Struthio camelus: one gene and its partners. The protein of the gene in region 3 interacts with the protein of the main gene of each other region in a pairwise test. Links are inferred from orthologs where the notes say so. Each region holds a gene or a part of one and is shown on either strand. Other genes may lie near its edges.

Evidence for each region.
Region 1: the proteins of CCDC57 (region 3) and SFI1 interact in a two-hybrid assay, tested with the Homo sapiens proteins (2 studies listed by BioGRID). The two-hybrid records come from large-scale screens. The link is inferred for Struthio camelus from reciprocal best matches to the Homo sapiens genes CCDC57 and SFI1.
Region 2: the proteins of CCDC57 (region 3) and tyrosine-protein phosphatase non-receptor type substrate 1-like interact in a two-hybrid assay, tested with the Homo sapiens proteins (2 studies listed by BioGRID). The two-hybrid records come from large-scale screens. The link is inferred for Struthio camelus from reciprocal best matches to the Homo sapiens genes CCDC57 and SIRPA.

What each region holds. Positions count from the first base shown.
Region 1 is NC_090958.1:8,296,782-8,304,330, forward strand, and holds the start of SFI1 (protein SFI1 homolog), read left to right. Parts: upstream 1-4,474; 5' UTR 4,475-4,553; intron 4,554-4,740; exon of another isoform or gene 4,741-4,803; intron 4,804-5,189; 5' UTR 5,190-5,254; coding exon 5,255-5,274; intron 5,275-7,314; coding exon 7,315-7,509; intron 7,510-7,549. Other genes in the region: EIF4ENIF1 (eukaryotic translation initiation factor 4E transporter), read right to left, coding at 2,317-2,436. UniProt on the Homo sapiens protein: Plays a role in the dynamic structure of centrosome-associated contractile fibers via its interaction with CETN2.
Region 2 is NC_090959.1:18,179,359-18,187,235, forward strand, and holds the start of tyrosine-protein phosphatase non-receptor type substrate 1-like, read right to left. Parts: upstream 3,043-7,877; 5' UTR 2,997-3,042; intron 1-2,996. Other genes in the region: signal-regulatory protein beta-1-like, read left to right, coding at 6,904-6,970, 7,268-7,612. UniProt on the Homo sapiens protein: Immunoglobulin-like cell surface receptor for CD47. Acts as docking protein and induces translocation of PTPN6, PTPN11 and other binding partners from the cytosol to the plasma membrane.
Region 3 is NC_090960.1:98,361-106,327, reverse strand, and holds the start of CCDC57 (coiled-coil domain-containing protein 57), read right to left. Parts: upstream 3,005-7,967; 5' UTR 2,920-3,004; intron 2,865-2,919; exon of another isoform or gene 2,667-2,864; intron 2,658-2,666; exon of another isoform or gene 2,261-2,657; 5' UTR 2,162-2,260; intron 1-2,161. Other genes in the region: SLC16A3 (monocarboxylate transporter 4), read left to right, coding at 4,947-4,994, 7,122-7,365, 7,746-7,889. UniProt on the Homo sapiens protein: Pleiotropic regulator of centriole duplication, mitosis, and ciliogenesis. Critical interface between centrosome and microtubule-mediated cellular processes. Centriole duplication protein required for recruitment of CEP63, CEP152, and PLK4 to the centrosome.

The DNA of each region.
Region 1 (7,549 bases), on a different chromosome or scaffold from region 3:
CTTGGAAAGGGCTTGCACCAGAGAAGGGAGTCCCAGACAGCAGGGAGCTCCCAGCATTAACTTGTATTAGCCTTCACCATAAAGAGTTATATTTTCCTAGCAAGACCAGACAGCCTGGAGAGCAGAGCTTTAAAGGGAGGCAGACTGGCCTGCACCCACAGCCTCCCAAAATAAATTATGACCTGTGAGAAACATTAGTACTGTAATACTATCATAGTCTGGATGTAGATATCAGAAGTATTAATGGCATTGTCCACCATCAGATTTCATATTTACTATTTTGCTGGCCACGAGAGGGAGTCCCTAGACTTCCAATCAAATTCTATTGCAAGTCTTCCATTGAAGTGAGGAAGATTTGAATTGTTTTTTTTTAAGCTTTCACTTGTTAGCTGGAGTAACAGCTTTTAAAGAACTAGGAAAGACACAGCTTTGAGAATATAACACATTTCCTCATAATAGAGGAGATTAGTGTTAGCACTTTCACAGTTTTTTTTGATTCACCCAGCAGTACTTTCAAGCAGGTAAGGGGAAAGGTGTGTTTAGCTGTTATTAGGAAGTATTATTCAAGCAGTTTGAGGATTCATAGTGTGAACCAGTCGTTCTCCCACCAGTAGAAAGTGAATATAAATTGTCAAAGGAAAACAGGCCCTCCTCCAAATCAGTATATCTCCTGAAGTACTATTTCTTTCCCCCGCCCCATAGGGAGTTGGATCATGTGAAAACAGCTTTTAATATTAATCCCATGAGCATCTTAAATCAGCTGCATTTAAGGCATGTTAATTGTAAAAAAAAAATAGCAATATTACTATGTGGACATTTTAACATGGATTTATTTTTTTATATATGTTTCTTCACTCCAAGCTCTGTGGAAGCAGATAGATAAACAAGACTAGCTGCCTTCTGGCAATAATTCAGTCACTTTATTCTGAGCAGAATTAGGGGTACAGAGTTAACAGCTGCAGCTACAACTGCACCAATTTCATTGTACAACTACCATCAGTGCTGCCCGAATACTGCTCAAAACAGCCACCAGAATCTCAAGTTGCATTCAGTTATTCTTCTTGAGAAGAGCTGAGTGAGATCAACTGAGAACAGATATAGCTTTTAGGAACAGGGAACGTTCAGAGATAAAGCCACCACCCCCCCCTTGCTTTAGGGGTAACTGAATAACAAGTTCTGAACAATACTATAGTTTGCATCTTGGAAAGTTAAGAGAACATCTTTTCTAAGAAAAGAATTAGAGAAGCCATACTATTCCCATATAAGTTTTGCAGTTTTGAAATACTCAGGCCATTGTTGATGTCTGGTGAAAGTAAGCTAGTTCCACTATCTCAGTGGAACAGAGACACAATGATAGTTTTTTTTAAAACAACCTACTAGGAAACTAACAGTTCAGAATTCCTCAGGCAAGATAATACAGTCAGCAACAGTACACTGTCTCATTCTCTCTTCCTCACTTCAAGCCCTTTGTTGCAAAATATCTTAATAGATTTCTGCAAAGCCATGACCACCTGTTTCCACAGCTTTCAACAATGAAAATATCAACCACCTTCATAAAGGCTTTTGTTCTAAGGAAAAAAAAAAAGTCATCTTTCAGCACAGCACCAAGATCCAAAACAGAATTTGAACCTTAAAAACCTCATGGTTTATCAAAGATTTTTTTTAACACTAGGTAAGTTTATTTGCACATTATTTAACGAGGTTCTTCCACTCATACATTCAGGTATCACAGCTGAGCAAGGGCACCTGTGTTAAAGTTTTAACATTAAAGAGTGGTTGGATGCATAAGTGCTAAGCTTCTAACTCCCAAACAAGACCTGTTCTAAGAAAACATCCAAACAGAAATAAAGTGCCAGTGTGATCTGGCATACTACCTATCCCAAGAAAGTAGCATCATACGACAAGTAAACATTTTGGTCGTGTTCTTAAAGAAACATTGCTGAAAGTAGAACTAAAACAATGAAGTGCAAGTGCTTGAGAAAGCTGGTAGAACAACATACTTCAGGCTCTACCATGTCATCCCCAGCGCACGCTATGAGGTGCACAGATATAATAAGGTGATGGGAACCAAAAGTATATATGAAGGACAGTCAAGATTACACAGTCGCTTCAGATTAAACAAGTTGCTTGTCTCATGCCACCTTGAGAATCTCAACCCAAACAAAGGCCTCTCAAAACCGACCAGTCAGTCAAGTCTGACTTGGACTTTCCAAGTCAGGGAAACCTCTGCCTCCAACTCTACTTCTGTGAGCAACAGCTTCAGGCACCTTTTTTTCTTTTTTTTTTTTTTTTGGGGGGGGGGGAAGAGAAGCTTACTTTTGTGTAACGATGTGGGTATTTCGTTGTAATTCTGTTCAACTCAAGGAAAGCATCCCCATTTTCAGTTTCCGTTACACCTCCTCTTTTATCCATGGCTACTTCAAAGCCTTTGGCCATGGACCTAATAAAAAAAACAAAATCAAGGCATCAAATTTTAAGACACGCGTTTCTGGGGGGGGGGGAAGGGGGGAAAGGGGTGCATTTTCCTTTCAGCCCCCCAAACCATCCTCCAGATGTGACGCCTAACAACCACCACCGCCAGCCACAACAGCACGTTTTTCCTACTTGTCGCTTCCCCCCCTCGGCTGAGCGGCGCCAGCCGGCCGCTGCCCGCGGCTCCGGGGGCGGCGGCACCGAGAGCCCCAGCGCGGGGGCGGCCGGGCAGCGCGGCGCGGCCCGGCCCAGGCCCGTGCCGGGGCGCCGAGGGCCCCCGCGCCCCGCTGAGGGGGCGGGGGCGCCGGGGCAGGTGACTCAGCGGATCCCCACCTGCGCCGCGGCCGCTACTCACCGCGCCGGCGGCGGGTCTCCCGGCGGCGCTCCGCTCCGCTCCAGGCCTCACCGCCGCCGCCCGCGGCGCTTCCTGCTCCCGGCCGCCGGCTCCGCTCCGCCGCCCGGCGCTGCCCGCGGCGGCGCCCCGCTCCCAACCCGCTCCCTTCCCCCACCACCACCTGCCCCGGGCCGGCGCCGCCGCCCGCCGCCGCCTCCGCTCGCGCGGCTCCGGCCCCTCCGCGGCTCCTCGCTCGCTCGCGCGCCCTCTCCCTATTCGCCCGACTCTGGCTCTCCTCAGCCGCCGTAACCGGGGCCTTCCGCTGCCCGCCCCGCACCCCTTTAATGGCCCGCGCGCAGGCGCGGCGGCGGGCGCGCGCCGGGGCTCCCCGCGCCGCGCCTGACTGGAAAGGGCGGGCGGCGGCGGCGGGGAGCGCAACGCCGCCGCCGGCCTGGCGGGGCGCCGCGGGGCGGGGGGGGAGGCGGCCGCCCCGCCGCCGTCTGTGGCGGCCAGCGCGGCGGCGGCGGGTGAGGAGAGAGGCGGGCAGCGCGGGGGGGCCTCAGGCGCGCGCCGCGGGCAGCCCCGCGGGGGAGGAGGCGGCGGGACGGGGGGGAGGGGGGCGCCATGCGCCCGGGGCGGGCGGGACCGGCCTGGGCCTCGGCCCCGGCCGCGGCGATCGCGCTTGACAGCGGCGCGGCCCGCCCGGCCGCCCCGGGTCGCTCCTCTTCCCGGCGCCGTGCCTGCGGGCGCAGGGCGGCTCCCGCGCTCGGAGGAGCCGAGGCGCCTTCGTTTTCGGTCCGTGCGGGCTTCGCCGGGGGGGCGCCCGGCGAAACGGCCTCGACGGGCTGTTTTCTGAAGGAGCGCGCGTGCATAGACGGTGAAGGGACGAGCCGGAAAGGACTACACATACCGCCCGCCTCCATTCGTAGCCCTTTTTGCATGGGTTTGGCGGTTTACCCTTTAAAACAGTGAAGTGTACGTTAAAAAAAAAACGAGCCAGGCCGTGGCCTACACGCTGCACAGCCCTTCAGAAGGTTTTTTTTTTTTTTAAAACGCACTTTATCGGGCTGCCACCTCCGCTCGGTGCAAGCTGGCGTGCCGGCAGGAGAGCAGGCGGGGAAACGCGGGAGGGAGCGGGGCAGCCGGGGCGGGGGCTGCCGGCAGGTCGTGAGCGAGGAGCGGGGCGGGGGCCCTAAGGCCCCTCATGCCCCAAACTCCTTGGACGGAGCTGCACGGGGAGCACATGCAGCGCTGCTGAAGAACGGGCGGGGGGTTTGTCCGTCTGTTTGCCAATTGCCTGAAACGTCAGTAGTAAAGATTATATGTGCGGTCACCTGTGGAACGAAACAAAACCAAACATTTCTCAGTCTTTCCGTAGCTGACAGACCTAAGTGCTGTAGCACGAATAGGGCAGCGCTGCGACTGCTGGAAACTTGACGCCGTAACGCGTACGCTCCCGAGACGAGCGCCGCGGGGGGCCCTGAAGGGCCTCTCGCCTTGCTTTAGCTTCCATAAACGCCCCGATCCTCCTGCTTCGCGCCTTGCGAGGGAGCACAGCCGCTCCCACAGAAAACCCGGGCCACCGGCGAACCGGGGCCGGGAGCCCGGGGCGGCCGCCGCCCCTCCCGCCTGCTGGGGGCCGCTGCGCGCTCGCCCCGCCCCCGCCCCGCCCCCTCTCCCTGCGCGCGGGCGGCGCGCGCCGCGCTGAGGCGCCGCCGCCGCTGCTGCTGCTGCTGCCCGCGCTGTGGTGAGGCGGCGGCGGCGGCAGCCGGGGGGCGGGGGGGAGCGTGAGGGGGTGCGGAGGGCGGGAGGAGGGAGCGGGGGGGGCAGCTCCTTCCCTGGGGGGCCGCTGGGGTGCTGCGTCAGCCGCAGCCGGTTTTCCCGCCGTCCGCGGGGTTTGGGCTGGCCCTGGGTGGTGTTGAGGGTTTCGTTTTCTTCGTCCTCGCGTGCTTGCGGAGGGAGGGGGTAGCGTCTGTAAACAACAGCGACGCGAGGAGGTACGAAAGGAATCAGTTAGCGTAGGTAGCAGGTTTCCCACACCTCGATGGTTTGGAAACAGCGGGTACGTAGCTTAGGGCCTCTTGGCCAGTTTACAGCCCTTTTCCAGTCACGGCCCTGCTTAGCTAGGCGCTGCTGTGGTCTTAGCGTTCAGCTCGTTGCCGCTGTCCGTGGCCGGTAGGGTCTGCCGGCACAGGGCCGTTGGAGCCCGCAGGGCCTGGGCGTGCAGGGGGACGCTGCTCATGCTGAACATCTGCCCTATACTCTGCGCGCAGGGTGGGTGAGGGGAATTCAGGTCGTTTTTAAGAGCTGCAGAGTGAAATTAGCATAGATGGGATTTGATCACATCAGAAATAACAAGAAATAATTTATGCTTTGTCCCAAGATAACATACAACCTTCCTGTGCAGAGAGTGCGCTTGTTTACTGCAGGCTGGGAATTGTAGGCAACATGGAGAAGTGCAAGAGCAGGTAAGCAGTAGTAAGATGCTGCTTTGTTAAAGGACTCGGGCGTATTATTTTCATTATGACAACTTATGCGTTCCATGGCACAGAAACAAATTAAGATTTTTTTTTTTAATTAATTTCCATGGAAGACTCTTAATCAGAAAATGTACCTCTTGGCGGGGGGGAATTACCTTTGTGGTTTATGTTACCATAACGCTAAAATACAAAAGTGAAGTTCTTGAGCTTCAGGTATTAGACTGGGTCATAAGATACTTGGATACAATTGCTTGCCCAGGCACAAATTTCCTCTGTGATATTAAGCAATTCTCTTATCTTTCACATGTTTTTATTTCCTGACTTAAAAAAGGGAAATGATCCTTCTTCAACCCTTATTTTTCTTGGCTACTTCACATAAATTCTCAAGCGCATGGGTTGCCGTCACTGCATATATGTAATAGCTCTCACATACGGTTCTTGATATTTAGGAATAATCTATTATAAATTATGTTTATTGAAAAATCATTACATATTCACATGCCCTGGACTTTTGTTAATACAAACTTCTACATGTTCCACCCATGCTTGATTTTTACTGTTTTCTGTGATGTTGCAGCTGTGTGCATGATCAGACTAAGTTTACCTTTGGAATAGAGTAGAAGGTTTTGAAGGGAACTGGGTCTAATAGAAATGCGCAAGAAATGTACTGGAAGCAATTTTGCATAATTTAAAAAGTGTCTGAAACTCTTTTCTTCAAAAGTGCACGCAATTGCCTCAGCTGCACATCTTGACATGCACAGAATTCTCTTGTCTGCCAGATGTGGCCCTTCTCTTTCAGAAAATAATCAAAATGATATTTTATAGGGGAACAAGAATTTATCTCTGTGGCAAACTACAGGTCTTGTTTTCTTTCGTTAGGTTTGTTTTAGCTTCTTGCAGCCTGCTGGAATGAGCCAAGAGTACTATTTTTTCTTCTATGAGATTTTAACTAATATTGGAATTTTTTTTCTAATTTATTGTGAATGCTTTGAATTGGTGTTCAGCTGAACTCCTGAGACCTATTAGTGTGGATTATTCCAATAACTGTGGACCAAGATTTTTCCTGGCTGCAGCCATATATTTTTCCTAGCTCTCCTCAGGTGATTATTGGGATGAGATTTCAGACTGTCTCTTCTGTTGAGTGTTAAGGAGTTCAAGAATGTTTTTGTGGTTCTAATGTGCAAATTTTCAGGGTGGTGACAGTATTTGTTTTGAGAAAGAAGCTTCAATACAACTGGTTCAACAGGTTTTATCTGGTTAGTTTTTTTTTTTATCATGCTTGTTTTCAGAAAATTGTTGAGGCAAAATACTTAGAATTTGTAAAAACATTTTTCAAATGTTATTTTTCAAATTAGAGCTAGGCTTCAAAATAAACTGCATAATGGAAAAATGTACTTAATTTTGCTTTTTAATGATGGCTATATGAAGACAGGAAGGGATTTTTAGTAATTTTTTTCTTAAAGAAAAAACATAACTGATGCAAGTATAAGCAAAACTAGGGAAGATCTCCTTGTAAACAGACTGCATGTGTAAGTGGCTTTCCTATTAAAGTGATCATTGAGAAATCCTCACCTCAGTTCTGTAGTCCTCAAGAGAGTTTTTCAGCAGTAGACAAAACGGCTTGATTTGTTCAAGAATAAAAAAAGGCAGAAAAACACATTTAAGTCTTATTATTTTCTGTAAAAGCCTTAATTTTTACTGTATATAAGTACATGGGAGGGGAAGCACAAATGCATTTTAGTTCTTTCTCATTTCAACTTTAAAGGAGAAAGGAACTGTCTGTGACATGACTGCTCTGAAATCTGACTTACTGCCGTTCATGGGGAAATGGCCTTACGATTCCAGAAATAAAGTTAGTGAATAATGCGTGACAAGAGAGATGTTAAATGTGTTGTAACGTTGGGTAGCTGTCAGTTTCTCTATGTGATTGTATAGCTTTGTTATAGGTTAATCCATAGAAATGATGCCGCTTCTTTACAATTAACAGGGTCTTACACACAGTATGTTTTCTTTTATTTCCTTTTTAAGTTCAAAATCTCTGAAGATGCGTGCAACCCAACAACTGCATAGACCTAAAATGCATGCAGCTGGTCACTCTGCTGCTTGTCAGTGTGTTGCTCCACGATCTGCTGGACATCGATTTCAGAACGGGGGTCATCACAGTCCATGTCCAGTTGGGTGTATCTGCAATCAAGGAAGAAGGTTAAAAGAACTCCAGATCAGGTGATAAGACCAAAACACAATTTTCACTCAAAGGAGCAGG
Region 2 (7,877 bases), on a different chromosome or scaffold from region 3:
AGGCGCTCAGCGGGATGCCGCAGGTGCCCGGGCAGCTCTGGCTGCACCTCGCCGGCGGCTCCCAGCCTCCCGCGCGCTCCCGCGGGACTCGGCGGGGTTGAAAGCCGGAGGAGGACAGAGGTAAGGGGGTCTCCGGCGCCCGAGAGGGGCCCGACGACCCGGGGCCGGCTGGCGGCAGCGGCGGGGCGAGCCGGGAGGGGGCTCAGCGGCGTTATCCCCCGCCGGAGCGTCTGCGAGGCCGGAGGGGCACCCGGACGGCGCCGGAGCCGGCGGGAGCCCCCTCGGGCCCGTGCAGGCTCCTCTGCGGGCGCCGGCCCCGGGCCGGGCGCTGCCGCCGGATCCTCCTCCCCGTCCCCGAGCAACGGCCCGTCAGGCGAGTCTTTCTTGAGCCCTGGCTGCTCCTGTTCGTCTGGCGGACCTGGGAAATCCCTCTTTCGCGCTTGCCGGAGCGCTGGCCTCCCCGACGTCCTGCGGCGACGGACCGCGCAGGCTAAACGCGGGCCGGGCGCAAGGGATTTCCTTTCGTCGCTGGGCGGGAAGCGTGTTCAGCAGCTTTCATTTTCACTGCCTGTCCCCCCGTGACGGAGAGCGGCCGGGCAGGGCAGAGCCCAGCTGCCGTCCTCCTCCTCCTCCTCCTGCTGCTGCCGCCGCCGGGGATTTCACAAAAACGGGACCGGGCGCAGGAGTGCGATCCCCCCCCGGCGGGGCCGCAGCAGCCTGGGCACAACCTGCTACGAGACGCCGGAGAGTCCGCACAGCCCCGCGGCAGCCTCGAGGGCCGCCTGCCCGGCGCCGCGCTCCGCTGGCTCCCGGCTGCAGCGGTGCCGGGGCCGCGGGCTCCCCGTCGGCGCCGGGGCCTCTCGCGGGGCCGTTCGCGGGCGGCGCTGAGCGCCCCCCGCCCGGCCCAGCGCCCTCGGCCCGGCAGACGGCGGCTCCTCCGTAACGAGTGTTTTTTACTCAAGCTGTGCTTATGGGGCTGGAAAAACATCCATGGGGCTGGAAAGAGCTGAGCCCTCACTAACTCATGAAATTGGGGGGAATAATAGCGCCGGAGGTGAGGACAAGGCACAAAAGCAGTTCCTATGACAACCCCGAATCCCCAAACTGTTTATCCTCTTTAATAAAAATCTGCAATAACCGTGAAACCAGCGAACAGGATTCAATACGTACTACACGAAATGAGTAACAGCGTAAAGCACGTAACCATTTTACTTCCGCTCCGTTCCTTGCTTCCCCGTGAAAATCCTGCCCTGATAAACAGAGAGCGGAGAAGGGGCAGGTTGGCGGGGTCGCGTCGCCGTCCCTGGCCGGTGGGACGCCCGCAGGAGCCCGGCCGAGGCGATGCCGCCCGCGCTGGCGCGCAGGAGACGGGCCAGCTGGCTGCAGAGAGCCAGCAGCGGCGGTGCGGGACCAGGGACCGGCAGCAGCGGTGGTGCGGGACCAGGGAGTGGTGGCAGCGGCGGTGCGGGACCGGGGACCGGCAGCAGCGGTGGTGCGGGACCAGGGAGTGGTGGCAGCGGCAATGCGGGACCGGGGATCGGCGCAGCGGCGGTGCGGGGCCGGGGACCAGGGGCAGCAGCGGTGTGGGGCCGGGGACCGGCAGCAGCAGCGGTGCGGGGCCGGGGACCGGCGGCAGCGGCGGTGCGGGACCGGGGACCACCGGCGGCAGCAGTGCAGGGCCGCGGCCAGAGCGCGGATATCCCCGTGGGTATCGCCGGGTGCCCTGGCCCGTCTGGCACCGTGCAAACACGGAAAGGCCAACCGGGGCGGCCCTACCCCAAAAAACATGCCCCTTTCGACATGCCTATTTGGCGGCGAGGCTGTCGGCTGCCCGCTCCGGCGGTCCGGGTGCGGGAGCCGAACGGCCCCGCGGGGACCGGCGCTCGGCGGGGGGCACCTGCGGCAGGCGGCTCCCCACGAGCCAGCTGGGCGCGTTCAGCTCTCCAGCTAGCGTTTGCATCCCGAAACGTCGCCTGAATAGCGCGGTGCGATTGGGGCGGGCGCTGGCTGCGCGGCGTCCTCGGCCTCTCTGCCTCCGGTCCCTCTCCCCGCGGGAGCGCAGCCCGGATAAATCAGCAGGAGCCGGTAGAGATCCGCGTGGCTTTTCCTAGGGGCGCTCAAAGCACCCCCCGGGACCCTCCCAACCTTTCCGAAATCCCCTCAGAGCGTCTCAGCGCCCGGCCGGGGCCCTGCTTGTGCCGTCGGATGCCAGCGCTGCTGCGCGGCGGCGGCCTGGCGCGGGACATGTCCCACGTCTCCGGGGACGGGGCTTCCTGGGGAGCCCCCAGGGAAAGGGGACGAGGATGGGGACTTACGAGGATGGGGACGGGGACGGCGCCGGTGCAGCCCCGGGGGCGATCCAAAGCGCGGGCGGCGTCTCGGGTGGACGCCAGGTCTCGGGGACAGAAGCAGCCACTAAAGCGGGACCCGGCTGCATCAGCCTGCGCCGTCAGCCGGCTGCGAGGGACGAGGCTGGACTCTCCCGGCCCGTTCGTTCACCCGCTCCCCCCCGCCGCAGTGCCGATAACACCGTCCCGGAGGGAGCGGACCAAGGGTAAACGCCCGGTCCGGCTCTGCGCAGCGTTCACACCGGCCCTCCCCACGCCCGGCTTGGGGCAAAACCGCCCCGCATCGGCACCAAATCCCCGCGCCCGCTGCCCCCCGGCCGCCCCAGCCCCCCGGCCCGGCCGCGCTCCTACCTGCTCGGCCGCTTGTTTGTGCTTTCACTGCCGGCACACCCGGGCTGCTGGCTTAAAGGATTTTCCCACAATAACCACCAAATCCCTCTCCCGGGCACTAAGCCGCAGCCCTGCGCCCTTTCCCAGGTGCACAGCGCTCCCAGCCCGCCGCTCGCTGCTTTCCATATGCTTTCATCACGCTGGATTTTCCCCCTCCCGACCCAGCCCAATGCTGAAAAACGCCCTAAATCGGATTTCGTTGCCCCGTGCGGGCGAGGTGTCTCCCCGCTCTCGCTCTCAGCCGCCGGTTTTACATACGCTGCTCGCAGTCCTCGCTGGGGCGTGCGGCACGCAGCCACTGCCGGCGTCCTCGGGGCGGCCCGCGGCCAGGACGCGGCGCTGGCGGCCGCCGGCACGGGGCACTCCGGCCCGCGCTTCGCGCCAGCTGCTGACCTGCCCGGGGAACCGGTCGCCGCTCATCGAGGCCGCGGCCCAGCTTCTGCCACTGCCCCGCGGGGCTCGGGGGCTCGGCTGGGTCCGGGCTCGCGGCCGGAGCTCGGGACCGCGGCGCCGGGGCCCCCGCCCTGCTCCTGCCTTTGCAAACGTCCCCGCGCTGCGCCCGCGGCCGGGGCGCTGCATGCAGGACTCGGCGCTGCCACTGAGAAAAGAAATGTCCCCAAAGCGTGCCCAGGTGTTAAGACATGTCCCCTGCGACACGCATGCAAATGGGTTTCGTAAGCGGCTTCCCTCCCCGGCAGCGCTCTGCCCGTCGGCAGGATCTCTCTGCTCGCAGATAAACCCCCGGTACCTAGATGCACACGCAGACGCTGCACGCTGTCTTGTTTCACTTCTCTATTTTGATTTCACAGAAAAAAAAAAAGAAAAAAAAAACAGAGAAAGGAAATTGGAAGTTGGCATCTGCAAACAGCTTTCAAGGGGCGCAGGCAGCAGCGACGGGCCGAAGCGCAAGGTTTCCCGGCCCGGAAACGTGCTCAGCCCAGCGGCAGGCGCCGTGCCTGGCGGCGGGGAGGCCGAGCCGGCCAGGCGCTCCGTCCCCGGCCGCGGAGGCGCGCGGCGGCCGCGTGCTCCCAGCTTCGAGCTGCTCGGCTCCGGCAGCTGCCGCCGGCGGCGTGGGGAAGCGCCAATGCCCGGGACTCGACCGGCCGCGCGCCCGGCCGCTGGGGCGGCTTCGCAGACGCCTTATTAAAGGCGATGCATCGCCGGGGCTGAGCGCGGCGGGGCCGGAGGGGCAGCCAGCAAGGGCCCGCGGCGCCAGGACAGCGCCGAGCCGCCTGGGGCCACAAAGTGCCCCTGAAAGGGGCCGAGAGGGGCCAGCCGGGCCCCTCTGCCGCTTCTTCCTCGCGTCCCGCAGAAAAGGTCCTCGCTTCGTCCCCCGGCACGGGCCCGCGGCCGGGCGTCGCGGCTGGGGACCAGGCTTTACCGCGCAGCTAGCCGGATGCTGGCGTACTCGGTGCCGGGGGCGCCGGGGCTGCGCGCCCGCCGCGGGGCCGCCGGCAGGTGCCGCAGGTCGGCGTAGTGAACGTCGGCGTCCGGCCCGCCGGCCCGCTGCAACGGCGAGAGCCGCGCGTGGGTGAGGCCGTCGCGAGGGAACCGTGCACAAAGGAGCCCGCGGGCGCCTTCGGCAACGCGGCCGCCCCTCGGCCCGGCGGCCGCCGCCGCTGCCCCCCGAACCGCCCCGGAGCCGCCGCGTCCCCAAACCCCCTTGGCAAAGGCTCTTCCCTCGCCTTCGCCTCCCGCTCCTACCTGGCCGGGCGGAGGTGAGGTCTCGGCGTCCGGCACGCGGCTGCTGGGGGAGAAGGACTGCCGTTAGCGCTGCCAGCAGCCGCCCCCCCCGGCCCGCGGGGCTCCCGGCGGCCCCCGGCCCATCCCGGGCGCCAGCTGGCGGGTTTTACCGCCGGGCTGACGCGGACGGGAGCGACGCAGCGCAGCGACGCGCCGACGAATGCAAGCTCTTTTCCGGGGGGGGGAAAAACCCAAGTCTCCGAAGCGGGTGCAAACCTGGAGGCAGATGGAGAAGGCAGAGTTTCCTCGCGGCGGCAGGCGGCGGGTGCCAACCCGGGGCTGCCGGGGCTGCCCCCTGCCAAGCGAAGGAGAGGAGGGGTGAGCGGGGCGCGCGGCAGCCCCCAGCGCCCGGCCAGCCCGCCCGGCGCCCCGCTCACCTCCCCTCTTCCGCTGGTAGACGCACAGGGCGACGAGGAGGACGAGGAGGAGGATGGAGAGCGCCGCGGCGGCGACGGCCACGCTGGGAAACGGGGCCCTCTCTGCGGGGACACGAGCCTCAGCGGCGGGCGCCGGCACGGTGCCGGGGCGGGGGGCCGCGGGGGCGCCGACTCACCGTGCACCGACACCGTCGTGCCGGGCCCCGAGCAATAAACCTGCTCCTCCGACCCGGGCCGAAGCTTCACGCAGTAATAGGTGCCGGCGTCCTCGGGGCGGGCGTCGCTGATGTGGATGGTGAAGTCTGTGTTGGAGCCGTTCGCCGCCCTCGTGACGCGGGGGAAGGAGCTTTTCTGATCGTAAATGGTCCGGTTCTTGCCGTCCGAGGGCTTCAGCCACCTCACGGGTCCCGCTCCAGCGTGCTCCGAGACGGCGCAGCGCAGCGTGAGCGTCTGCCCCACGGACACGGACACCTCGGCCTGCGGCTGCTGCAGCTGGACGCGCGCGGCCGCCCGGGCGCCGGCACCTGCAGCGGGGCCGAGTGAGCGCCCCAGGCAGCCGCCGGCTGCCCTCGCTCGCACCGGCCCGGGCAGAGCCCCCGCAGCCGCCTGGCGCCTGCGCGGCGCTTTCGCTGAGCGCTATCAGGGACGAACTGCCCCAAGTGGGGCTGGCGGAGGGCAGGCGCAAAGCGGACGGCGGGGGGAGATCCTTCGCCCCCCCCAACCCGGGGGGCTGCTTGCCGCGAGATGCTGCAGGTGCTCCGGGTCTACAGAGGCAGACGAAGGAGCAACGCCGGGGAGGAAGAGCCAGGACGCGCCGCGAACCACCAGCGCGAGCAGGCAGCGTTTATCGGGCAGCCGGCCCCGAGCCCGCAGGCGGCCCGCAGCCTTTCCCGGCCCTCGGGATTTGGCTCTCCGTGCAGCCCGGCTCCTGCCTCCAAACCCCCCGGGCACCCCGCGCGCCCCTCGCCGCCCGGCCCCGGGCGAAACGGCAGAGATGCTGCAGCCCGGCAGCGCCGGGACGCCGGCAGAGACGTGCGCCTCCCTCGCCCCCGGGGAACGGCACGCAGCCCTGCAGCCCCCGGCAGCGAGGCTGTCCCCTGCCGCGCGATGCGTCCCTCGGGACAGAGGGCACGGAGCGGCGGGGCCGGGCGGCGGGCAGCGCCGGGGCGCTGCGCCCTACTCACCCGCCAGCGGGGCCGGGCACAGGCTGAGCAGCTGCACGAGGAGGGGAGGCACGGCGGCCGCCCGCAGAGCCATCGGCGCCACCGAAAGTTTCAGCTCCAACTTCAGGAGAAGGAAAATGAGAAGCTGCACAGGAAATGGAAGCGAGTGGGCGCGGGCGGTTAACGCTTTTGGTGCCTGCCTGGCTGCGTGCCGGACCCGGGCGCCGGGAGGCAGCGCCGGCCGGGAGCAGAGCAGGGCTTAACCCCTCAGATGCATCATCCGAGGTCGAAGCGCTTCTGCGCGCACCGCAGCCTGCCCGCACGGAGCTTGCTGCAGGGGCGGCCGGCGCCGGGAGCAGCCGCGGCCGGGGCAGGGGAGCGCCTCTGCCGGAGCCTGCAGCCGAGGCGCAGCGCGAGGAAGGCGGCCGCCTCGGGACAGGCTGCACGTTTCAGAGCTGCGCGCGAGATTTCCCGGCCTGCAGGGAGGAGCGGCAGCGAGAGGAGCCCGCGCGGCGGGCAGGCGAAGCTTGCACCACGCCGCCGTCCCCTCTGCCCAGGCCCCTCTACCCAGACACCGCGCGGGGCGGCAGGCGCCCACGGCCCCCGGCGGCGGCGGGCGCAGGGCGGCTCGCGGGGCTGCAGACCCGCCGCAGCGCCGCTTCGTGGGACGGCGGCTCTGCAGCCCCGACGGCTGGCAAGCACGCAACCTCGTGACGTGTCAAGGCGAAAACGATTTGGAAACCTTCCGGCCTTGCATGGAGGTGGCAGAGGAACTTCGCCTGCTGTCGTGACCTTCCTTCCCCATTTGCGATAAGTCCTCCCCGAGCCCCCGAGCCGGCTGAGCCGAGCCGAGCCGGTCGGGAGCGGGACGCGGGTCTTGCCATGGCTGCGGCCACGCCGGCGCTGGCTCTCGCCTGCCTGGTGCTGCTGCTGCTCTGCAGAGCCACGGGTGAGTGTCGGGCACGGGGCCACCTCGGCGCCCCGCTCTCCTGCATCCTTCCCTGGCCGCCGGCAGAACCGTCCTTCCCCTGCGCCTGACCATATTCGGGGCTCTCCCCTCACCTTCTCCCCTTGCTCCTTGCTTTTATCCCCAGTGGAAGAGTTCGCTTTATTCCCGCCTGTCCCGGGGACCCGGCACGCGCCCTGGCCCTGCAGCGCTGCCGGCGGGCGTGTGGCTGGGCCGGTGGCCGTGCGGCGCCCTGCCTGCGGGACCCTCGCAGCCCCGACCCCTCCTCTCGCTGCGCAGGTGCCCAGACAAAGGAGAACTTCCAGCTGCAGCAGCCCCAGGCGGAGGTGTCCGTGTCCCTGGGGCAGACGCTCACCCTGCACTGCACCGTGTCTGAGCTCCCTGTAGTGGGACCCGTGAAGTGGCTGAAGGATTTGGGCGGCAGGGAAGAGCTCATTTATGAGCAGAAAGGCTCCTTCCCCCGCGTAACGAGGGCAGTGAATGAATCCAGCACAAACTTCACCATCCACATCAGTGACATCCAAGTCAAGGATGCCGGGACCTATTACTGTGTGAAGTTTAAGAAAGGAGACGGGCAGAATGAGCGGTATGCGTCGGGACGGGGCACGAAGGTGTTTGTGCGTGGTGAGTGGAGCCCTCGGCCGTGCCGCGACCCCCCAGAGCAGCTCCCGGCCGGGAAGCAGCCCCGCCGGGCGCAGCCGCCCTCCGTCACCGTGGGCTCTGGTCCCGGGACGGGCAGGGCTGGGCGGAGGGCCCTGCGTCCCCTCCCCTGCCCGGCCGCGTTCCCCGCCGCCGGCAGGAGCGAGCAGGCGCCCCGGGTGAACCGGGGGTCCCTCCTGGAGAGCTGCCTGGCAGCCGGGGCAGAGGTGGTGCAGAGCCGCCTTCCCTG
Region 3 (7,967 bases):
CCTTTCTTGGTAAGAAGAAAGTCACACTAGTATTTTTCCTTTCAGCTTCAAGTTAGTATGCAGATCTGTGGCTTGTTCTTTTGCTTATGGCCCAGAATAAGTTGGGGGTCCTTGCTCATATCATGCTTGTTATTTAAAAAAAAAAAAACCAACACCACCACCACCAACCAAAACAACAATATAATTCAGTTTTCCCAAATAATATAATGAGCACTGTTTTAACATGCGCATTATTAAAAAAGCAGAAAAAGCCCGACTTCCTCTACAGATCAGTTAATACCCAGATAATATGAAGACACTGGTCACCATCCTTTGTTACACATACGCTTGCAGCATGAGCAAGCATGTGCGTTGTTCAGGCCGGTAACTTGTGATGTACAGTGTTGCAGCTCCAGCAGCGAAATAACACTATAATGGTTGGAGCATAAGTGGGGACAGGAGATTGATAGTAGGTGTTGGCATGGAACATCACCTACAACTATAGACAGCACAGAAATACTGCATGGTTTTTCTTGGGAGTTTTGAGAGACAGATGGATGAATGGGGAAAGCTGGCAAACCTTTCAGAAAGGCGGACACAGATCCTGCAGAACTGGAAAACTGTCTCTGATAAAACAAAGGAGGCCAAACTGGGAGAGTGAAAGTGACTGCACGGTGTGAGGGGGAGGAGAGGAGGTCATGGAAGGCACTGGTAAATACGGTAATGATTTTGTAGGGGATGGGCATTTGCAGCAGCCTTTGGAAATGGATGTTTAACTAAAATGGCTGGCACGTAGGCAGTTGAGACACAAGAAATGCACTCTTGTGTCAGATCAGTGGCCCATCAAGATGGCTTGTAGGAAGTACCCAAGAATGAACTGTAAATAAATGAGATGATAGATGAGAATTTAAGATATATGAATTAGTGTTTAGAGCACCAGGAAATAGTTAGAATCAGGCTGGGTAGGCAGATGCCTGTGATACATCCTTGTAAAGGGTAGTTGTTTTGCAGTAGAGGGCTATCAGCAGGATCTGGAGGATATTGAAGTAAATTGATTTTTGGAAGGGTCATTTCCTGCATGATTTCAGTGAAGATGGTTAGTCCTAGAATTCTTCACTCAAAAAATGAAGATAATAAATCTTTTGTCTCGCTTGTTTACATTTTAATATCTTTGGGCAAATACAGGAGGTTTAGGAGGTTTAAGACTCCTATTACCATAGTATCAAGCATCCTACACTTTTCAGTGTGTCCATACTCTCAATACCCTATGAAGAGAGCAGTATTATTCTCTAAATTCCATGGATAAGAAACTGAACGTGGATCTCTACATTGATCAACTTGGACACTCTTCCTCTTGTGACTGTACAACAACCCAGTAGGATTTCAATCTGAACTGGGATCCCTATATGGAAGTGCAAGACCTTGTTTTCTGTTTGATAACCACTACTTATTACTAGCCTAAGAATTCAAGGTTGGATAGATTTCTAGCACATCTGCCCTAGTTAAATTAATTCAAGGGAAGTCCTCTAGCTATACAGGAGGTCAGCCTACATAATCACAAACGTCCCTCCTACCCACACCGCTGGCCCTAAAGTACTGCTACATGGCAAATAAAGGTACTGGCTAAACATCAGCATTAGATTTTTCTTATTTCTTGGGGCTGCTTTTTATAATGTAAATGCTCTCCTTGTATATATACTGTACCATTGCACCAAATCCGCCATCCATAATGCTAACAATCAATCACCTAATATTTCCTCCTAAGGGTATTGTATCCTGTGTTGGTTTACAAGGGAATAAGGAGATGATATCAAGAGCATGAAAGCACACAGGTTTAACCACATTTGCCCTTTGTTTCACATATTGCAAAAGCAAGAGCCCGTTTATGATAGACTCTGGAATAAATACTGGCAATTCTGTCATGTCTGCTGTATGGACTGAATCTGAGCTACAGCCAGTTAAATGTGATCCTTCTCTGACAAGGCTAAGCTAGCAAGAGCAGAAAGAAAAAAATGAACTTTAGTAATGGTTACACAGAACCCTCCTTTTGGCAGGCTATGACCTCAATAGTGAGCACCGGAAGTGAAATTATATGAAAAAGTTTTGTTTCTGCTAATCAACCATGAGTCCAGCTCTTCCAACCCTAACCCAAGCTTGCACAACCTCTCACACAGGAACTTACCCATTACTTCCTTATTAGCGCTTAAGGAGGTTTAGGCAGTCCAGCCGAGCCAAGTAACGGGCTTCTCGCTCCACGGCTCCACGAATCGCGTCTTCTCTGCTGTATTTAAAGAGACAGGGTTCATTTAGTTCTGGTTAATGCTTTTTTAATTCTTACGTATTGCCATGAACTACTGATGGATTAAACCAGATGAGTAAGATTGATGTAGAAGTATGCCTATTTAGTCCAATTTTAACAGGGTGGTGTTCGAGGGCCTGATGGGTTGTTTTCTGGTGATTTTTAGCCGTGCACGCTAATGGACATTTATGATGAAAAGAAGAGTAAATGGATGTTATTGTTTCCCCATAAGCCTATTTTTCTGGAAGGCTGGAAGTAGGCCAAGCCCCCCACAGCTACCAGTCTGCCCCTCACATCACAGTAGAAAATGGTTTTAAAGATTCCTACTGCTAGGGCACACAAAGTGTGATCAGCCCCATAGGCGAGGTGGAACGAAACACGGCTTGACCTGCTCTGCTAGGCGGGGAAGCGGCACAAGACCCGCCAGGGCGGAGGGCGTTTCTCCCCGTCCCGAGCAGACCGGGCTCCGCGGAGCGCCTGCTGCGGGCGCTGCTGTAGCCTCGGCGCCGCCCAGGCCGCCGCGCGCGAGCCCCGTCGCGGCCGCGCTGGCAGACGCCGAGCTCCGCCAGACACGGTCGCCCGCGCCGCCTCCGGGAAGCGCGCTAGGCTGCCTCCGCCTGCAATTACGGTAAGAGCCCCACCCATCCGCCAGTCACGTCCTCCACGTCTCAGTGCGGCGGCCGCCCGGGCGCGCGCCCCGCCGGGGTGGCTCGCGCCGCCGCGCGCTCTGCCCGGAGGCTGGCAGCTCAGCGAAGGGCGGCGCTGGAGGGTGCTGGGGCCGCCCTCCGGTCCGGGTTTGCACCAGCTACGGTGGCATCGCGTGCTGAGGCGGTTTCGTGCTCACCGGGAGAAATTCCGTGAAGCTTTGACGTTTTTTTCCGGATAGAACAAGTGTGCTGCCAGATAGCTTTTGATGCCAGTTCCTACAGAGAGCCACTTGCCGTTGAGATGGTTGGGATGTAGTTTTATTGTATGGGTCCAGCACGGGAAGTCTGTAGAGATTACCATCAGAAGATCTTTGCTATAGATTCAGTAAAGGAGACTGTCCTCGCCTGCGTGCAGGAAAAGCCACAGCAGTGGACGGCAAGAAATGGCTTATTTCTTCCATTTCTAGGGCTGAAGGTTCCAGTCCTGCACGGTATAAGTGGTCTGGAGAAACTGCTGCCTGGTATTTTTCAACGAAACATGCTCATGTCGCAGTACTTATTTTATGTTGCCACTAGATGGCTCATTATAAAAGAATAACAAGTGAAATTTACTCTTCCACCAATATTTCAAACATTCACTCCAGCTGAAGTGTTCTGTCTCCCTCCCATTTTGGCACAATGGGCGTGATCAAACCCCATTTCCCCTAGATTCTTGCAGTTTTATGTTTCTTATTCCTGTTAGTCATAGAATTGAGCTGAGACACTTGAATCAACGTTTTCCTGTTCTCAATATTACAGAACTACGAGTGTCATGAATGTATTACACTTAGTGCACGTACTCTGTGTTATCTGGTTGTTGCTTGTAAAAAACAATCCTTTTTGAAGAATACAAACTCGTTACTTTGGCTTGGGTTTTATTTCACTCAGAATGATTCTAACAATGTTTTGATTTAAAAAGTGTTATTTATTAGGGGTTTACACTAGCAGACCTTTAATACACATTATATTGTCATCTGGTGGGTGGAGAGTGGAAGAGCAAGTAGGTAGCAGAACAGCTTGCTAGATGGATTGATTGTAAAGCTATTGAACAGCTATTGAACAGTATGCTGATGTCCCAGGAACTTCACTTGTCCAGGTACACCAAGTTTTCAATGAACTTCTGTATTTAATATTTTACTTCCTTCTTTGACATATTACAAACGCCTTTTTGCTCTTTGTCTGGATGGAGAAAATGCATAACTGCATATTAACCAAGTTGTCTCTCCACCTCTTTTTTTTTGATAAGCTAGTTGGATGTTTCCTCCCTGGAAGATTCTTTATTTCCCGAAAGACTATTTTTTTCTGTATTTCAGATAGAAATTCAGTCCTGGATTTTCAAACGTAAGCAGGAAAGGCAAAATGAAATAAATGTCCACAATAGTAGAATTCAGTAGAGGTTTAGGGGTTTTTAGCATTGAAGGCTGAAGTGCCTAAATAAATACATAGCAAAACATTCAGTGAGTATAAAGGAGAGGAGATTTTTTTGGAGAATTCGAGGAAAGTGAATTTAATATTACCAACCAAAAATCATTATCACAGACTGCTGTATGAATGTGCATCATACAGAAGTTACTGGGAAAACAGTTTTGAAGAGGGGACGGATCCCAATGTGAGGAGAGCTTGCAGACGTGAGGTCTGCATCTTAAGACATGTTTAGAGGTCCAAAACTAGTGACTAGGTCCAAACTCGTGACTGCCCAGTCTGACAAACTAAGAGCATGTTCTTATGGCAGTCAGCAAATGAACCAGACACCTAGAATCATGGCACTGATTTTAGGATGCTTAGTTTTATTGTTTTCTGTTTCACTCCATGTTTAACCACTTTGGAGTCTAATTGCATGGAGTTCAGACATACTGTTACCTGCTTATATTTGCAGAAAACAAGAGGTGCAGCCAGTAGTATGAGGCTTATTGTCCTTCTTGAACAGCCCAGGGGCACAGATCAGCTATAGTCGTGGCCAGGTTTACATCTGGGTCTTCTATATGAAGTTGTTTCTTCCAAGAAGCAGCAGTGCTGGTCTAGATGTCATAGTAAGTACATTCATTCAGGCCTATTAACAATCATGCAGTCAGTGCTCAATTGTCTAGACAGCGAGTCTGCATCAACAATATTGTGTCATATATAGTCTGATTCAGAAATAGATCTGTTAAGAACTACATAATTCCAGTGCATCGCTATCACTATATTGGCCTATGCTTTTCAAAGCAGAAGCATTCTTTACTGAGGGACATCTCTGATGTGCAACTGTGCTTGCACTCTTCTTCCAGGTAGCATTACAGTGGAACCATGACCCAGTGGGAACAGTCATTTGCATTTCTAAACAAGTGATTAAATTTTACATAAGCAAGATTAATATATAATTTGTTTGATGCTTCACTTTATATTTTCAAGGCTTCTATAATAAGCATATCCTATAGAAACCTAATTATATATGCAAAAGTAGAGAATGCATCAAATATACATTTGACAGGAGAAACTGGACATTAAACAAATGCCACTAGGTATTAGAAAACTGCTACTGCTATTTGTCAGCAATTAGTCCGCTTTGCTCCCAGCTACCTGTTCTACTCATACCTATTTTACTCGTTTATAAACCACTTCCTGTTTCAAAAGATTGGTAGCCCTTATGCCTCCTCCAGGGTTTTTTTTTTTTGAGAGTCTTTCTTACTTTTTTGCTACAAGCTCAACCTTTTAACTCTCCTTTATGCCAAGCAGAAGAGGTTTTCCTATGACCCTTGCCCGGTACCTAGGAAGCATTTTGTAGGCTGTGATCACACGGTACTAACATGTAACTACAAGTCCCAGAATATCTACCTGAAGGGCAGAAGTAAGCCATGGGCCTAACTTCAAGGCAGCCGCTCACCCTGGAACACGTGTATGAAAAGTTGTTTTGGAAAAACTGCTTTTAAGGTTATACTTCAGAGGAAGCTTCGTGTCTGAGAAGCCCCTTATTTTCTGAGTTACTAGCTAGCTTCTTTTTTTGATATACTTGTCAACTGGAACACTATATGTTTATAAGTAGACTTATCTGAAAGTGCATTACACACTGAAATGTCATTTTTAAATGAGGTTTTTTTGAATCAAGGATGCTATTGGATTTTTTTGGCCATTTGCCGATGTGTTCATCTAGCACAGATGCTGTATGCATTGAGAAGGGGTTGTAATTGTGTCTAGATTTGTGATGCCCAGTATCTCCCTGCTATCTCCACATAAATGCACACTTTATCTGCCTTTTCCACTGTCTTTTTCTCAGCCTCTCTCTCTCTTTTAAAACAGCAGCATTACTGCATAGTACATAAACGCTGGTGCAAGAAAAGGTTTTTATTAGGGAGATTTAAAAAGGAGTTTGTGGCTGCATATGGAAGATGTGAAGAAAAAGATTCAGCAAATGTAATACTGGGAAATTACATTGATAAAGTAATAATACCACCAATGGAAAGTATTGCTTCAGGCAGTCTGAGATACTGAAAAGAAATTGCTGCAGTTATTAACTCTTTCTTCCACAAAACTTTCCCATGAAGTTTTTCATTACAGTTTAGCTTAGGTATTTATTTGATGCATGGAAATTGATAGCTCATCAGAAGCTGTAAGGTGTCTCAAGATAGCTATGCATTAGGGCTGTACTGCTGTCCTCAGTAAGGAACAAAAAGCCCGAGTGCTATGTCCACTGTTGCAGAAAACACTTGTGATAGACCAGCAGTTTGCATCCAGGTCTCCTAAGTGAATAATTCAGTAGCTTCACATAGCGAGGCCTTGTAACAAAACCCGCCCAGACCCTAATGCGGTAATTGCTACGCTTTTATGAAAGCCAAATCCATCCCTAAACAGCTGCAATGGCTTCAGTTTTCTGTGAAATGGTGGTTTGGTTGAAATCCAATCAGTTTTGACTTTGAGAAAGCTATGAGAGGACATTCACTTACAATTCTACTGTATGGGTCTCATTTCTATGTAACTTTGCAGGTTTTAACTTGACAAAACTCTGACAAGGAATAGTTAAAAGTAGCCCTGTGTCTTCAATATTGGTATTTAAAGCAGTCACATATCTTGTTTGTAACTTTAATTGTAGTACAACTTCTACCTTGGGGTAATTCGGGTAAGATTACTGTCCCAATGTCTATAGCCCATAACCGTGTGGTGTTTTTTTTTTTATGTCTTAGGGAACACTTTTGAGTTTCATCATGGGAGCTGTAGTAGCTGATGATGGTCCATCTGGTGTTAAAGCCCCTGATGGAGGCTGGGGCTGGGCTGTCCTTTTGGGCTGTTTTATCATCACAGGATTCTCCTATGCCTTTCCTAAGGCAGTTAGTGTATTCTTCAAAGAACTTATCCGGGAATTTGGCGTTGGATATAGTGACACTGCATGGATTTCCTCCATTCTGCTGGCCATGCTTTATGGGACAGGTAGGTAGTCACCCGTTTTTGAAACAGTATTGCATGTAAATCATACAGACATTTATATCGGGAATCATCATTGCATTATCACTACTGAGGCAAAAATTAAGGCATTCCAAAGAACAACTATTGTGGATCACGTCAATCCAGAAATCTAAGCGCATCCACCTTGCGTATAAAAATTAAATCCCTGTAACTAAGTAGGTACGAAAGATGATTAAAAAAGAAAATGTGCGTGGCATTCTGAAGAGGAAAACAACTAACTGTATGACTAAACCCTCCCAGGTTGGCCCGACAATGTGGGCAAAGTAAGGAAAGAATTGCAAACACAAAAATAAATTGCAAAAATTGGTTTATCGCAGTAACTGTAACTCGTTCTTCTTGTTCAGGTCCACTCTGCAGTGTATGTGTCAATCGCTTTGGCTGTCGCCCTGTCATGCTGGTGGGTGGCCTTTTTGCATCAATGGGGATGGTCATCGCCTCCTTCTGCACGAGCATTGTTCAGATCTATCTAACTGCAGGTGTGATTACTGGTAAGTAGAGCGCATGGTTGAAAAGGAGCTGGCTAATGTTTTGGCTATCGGTATGAAGAGTCACATAAATGACAAATA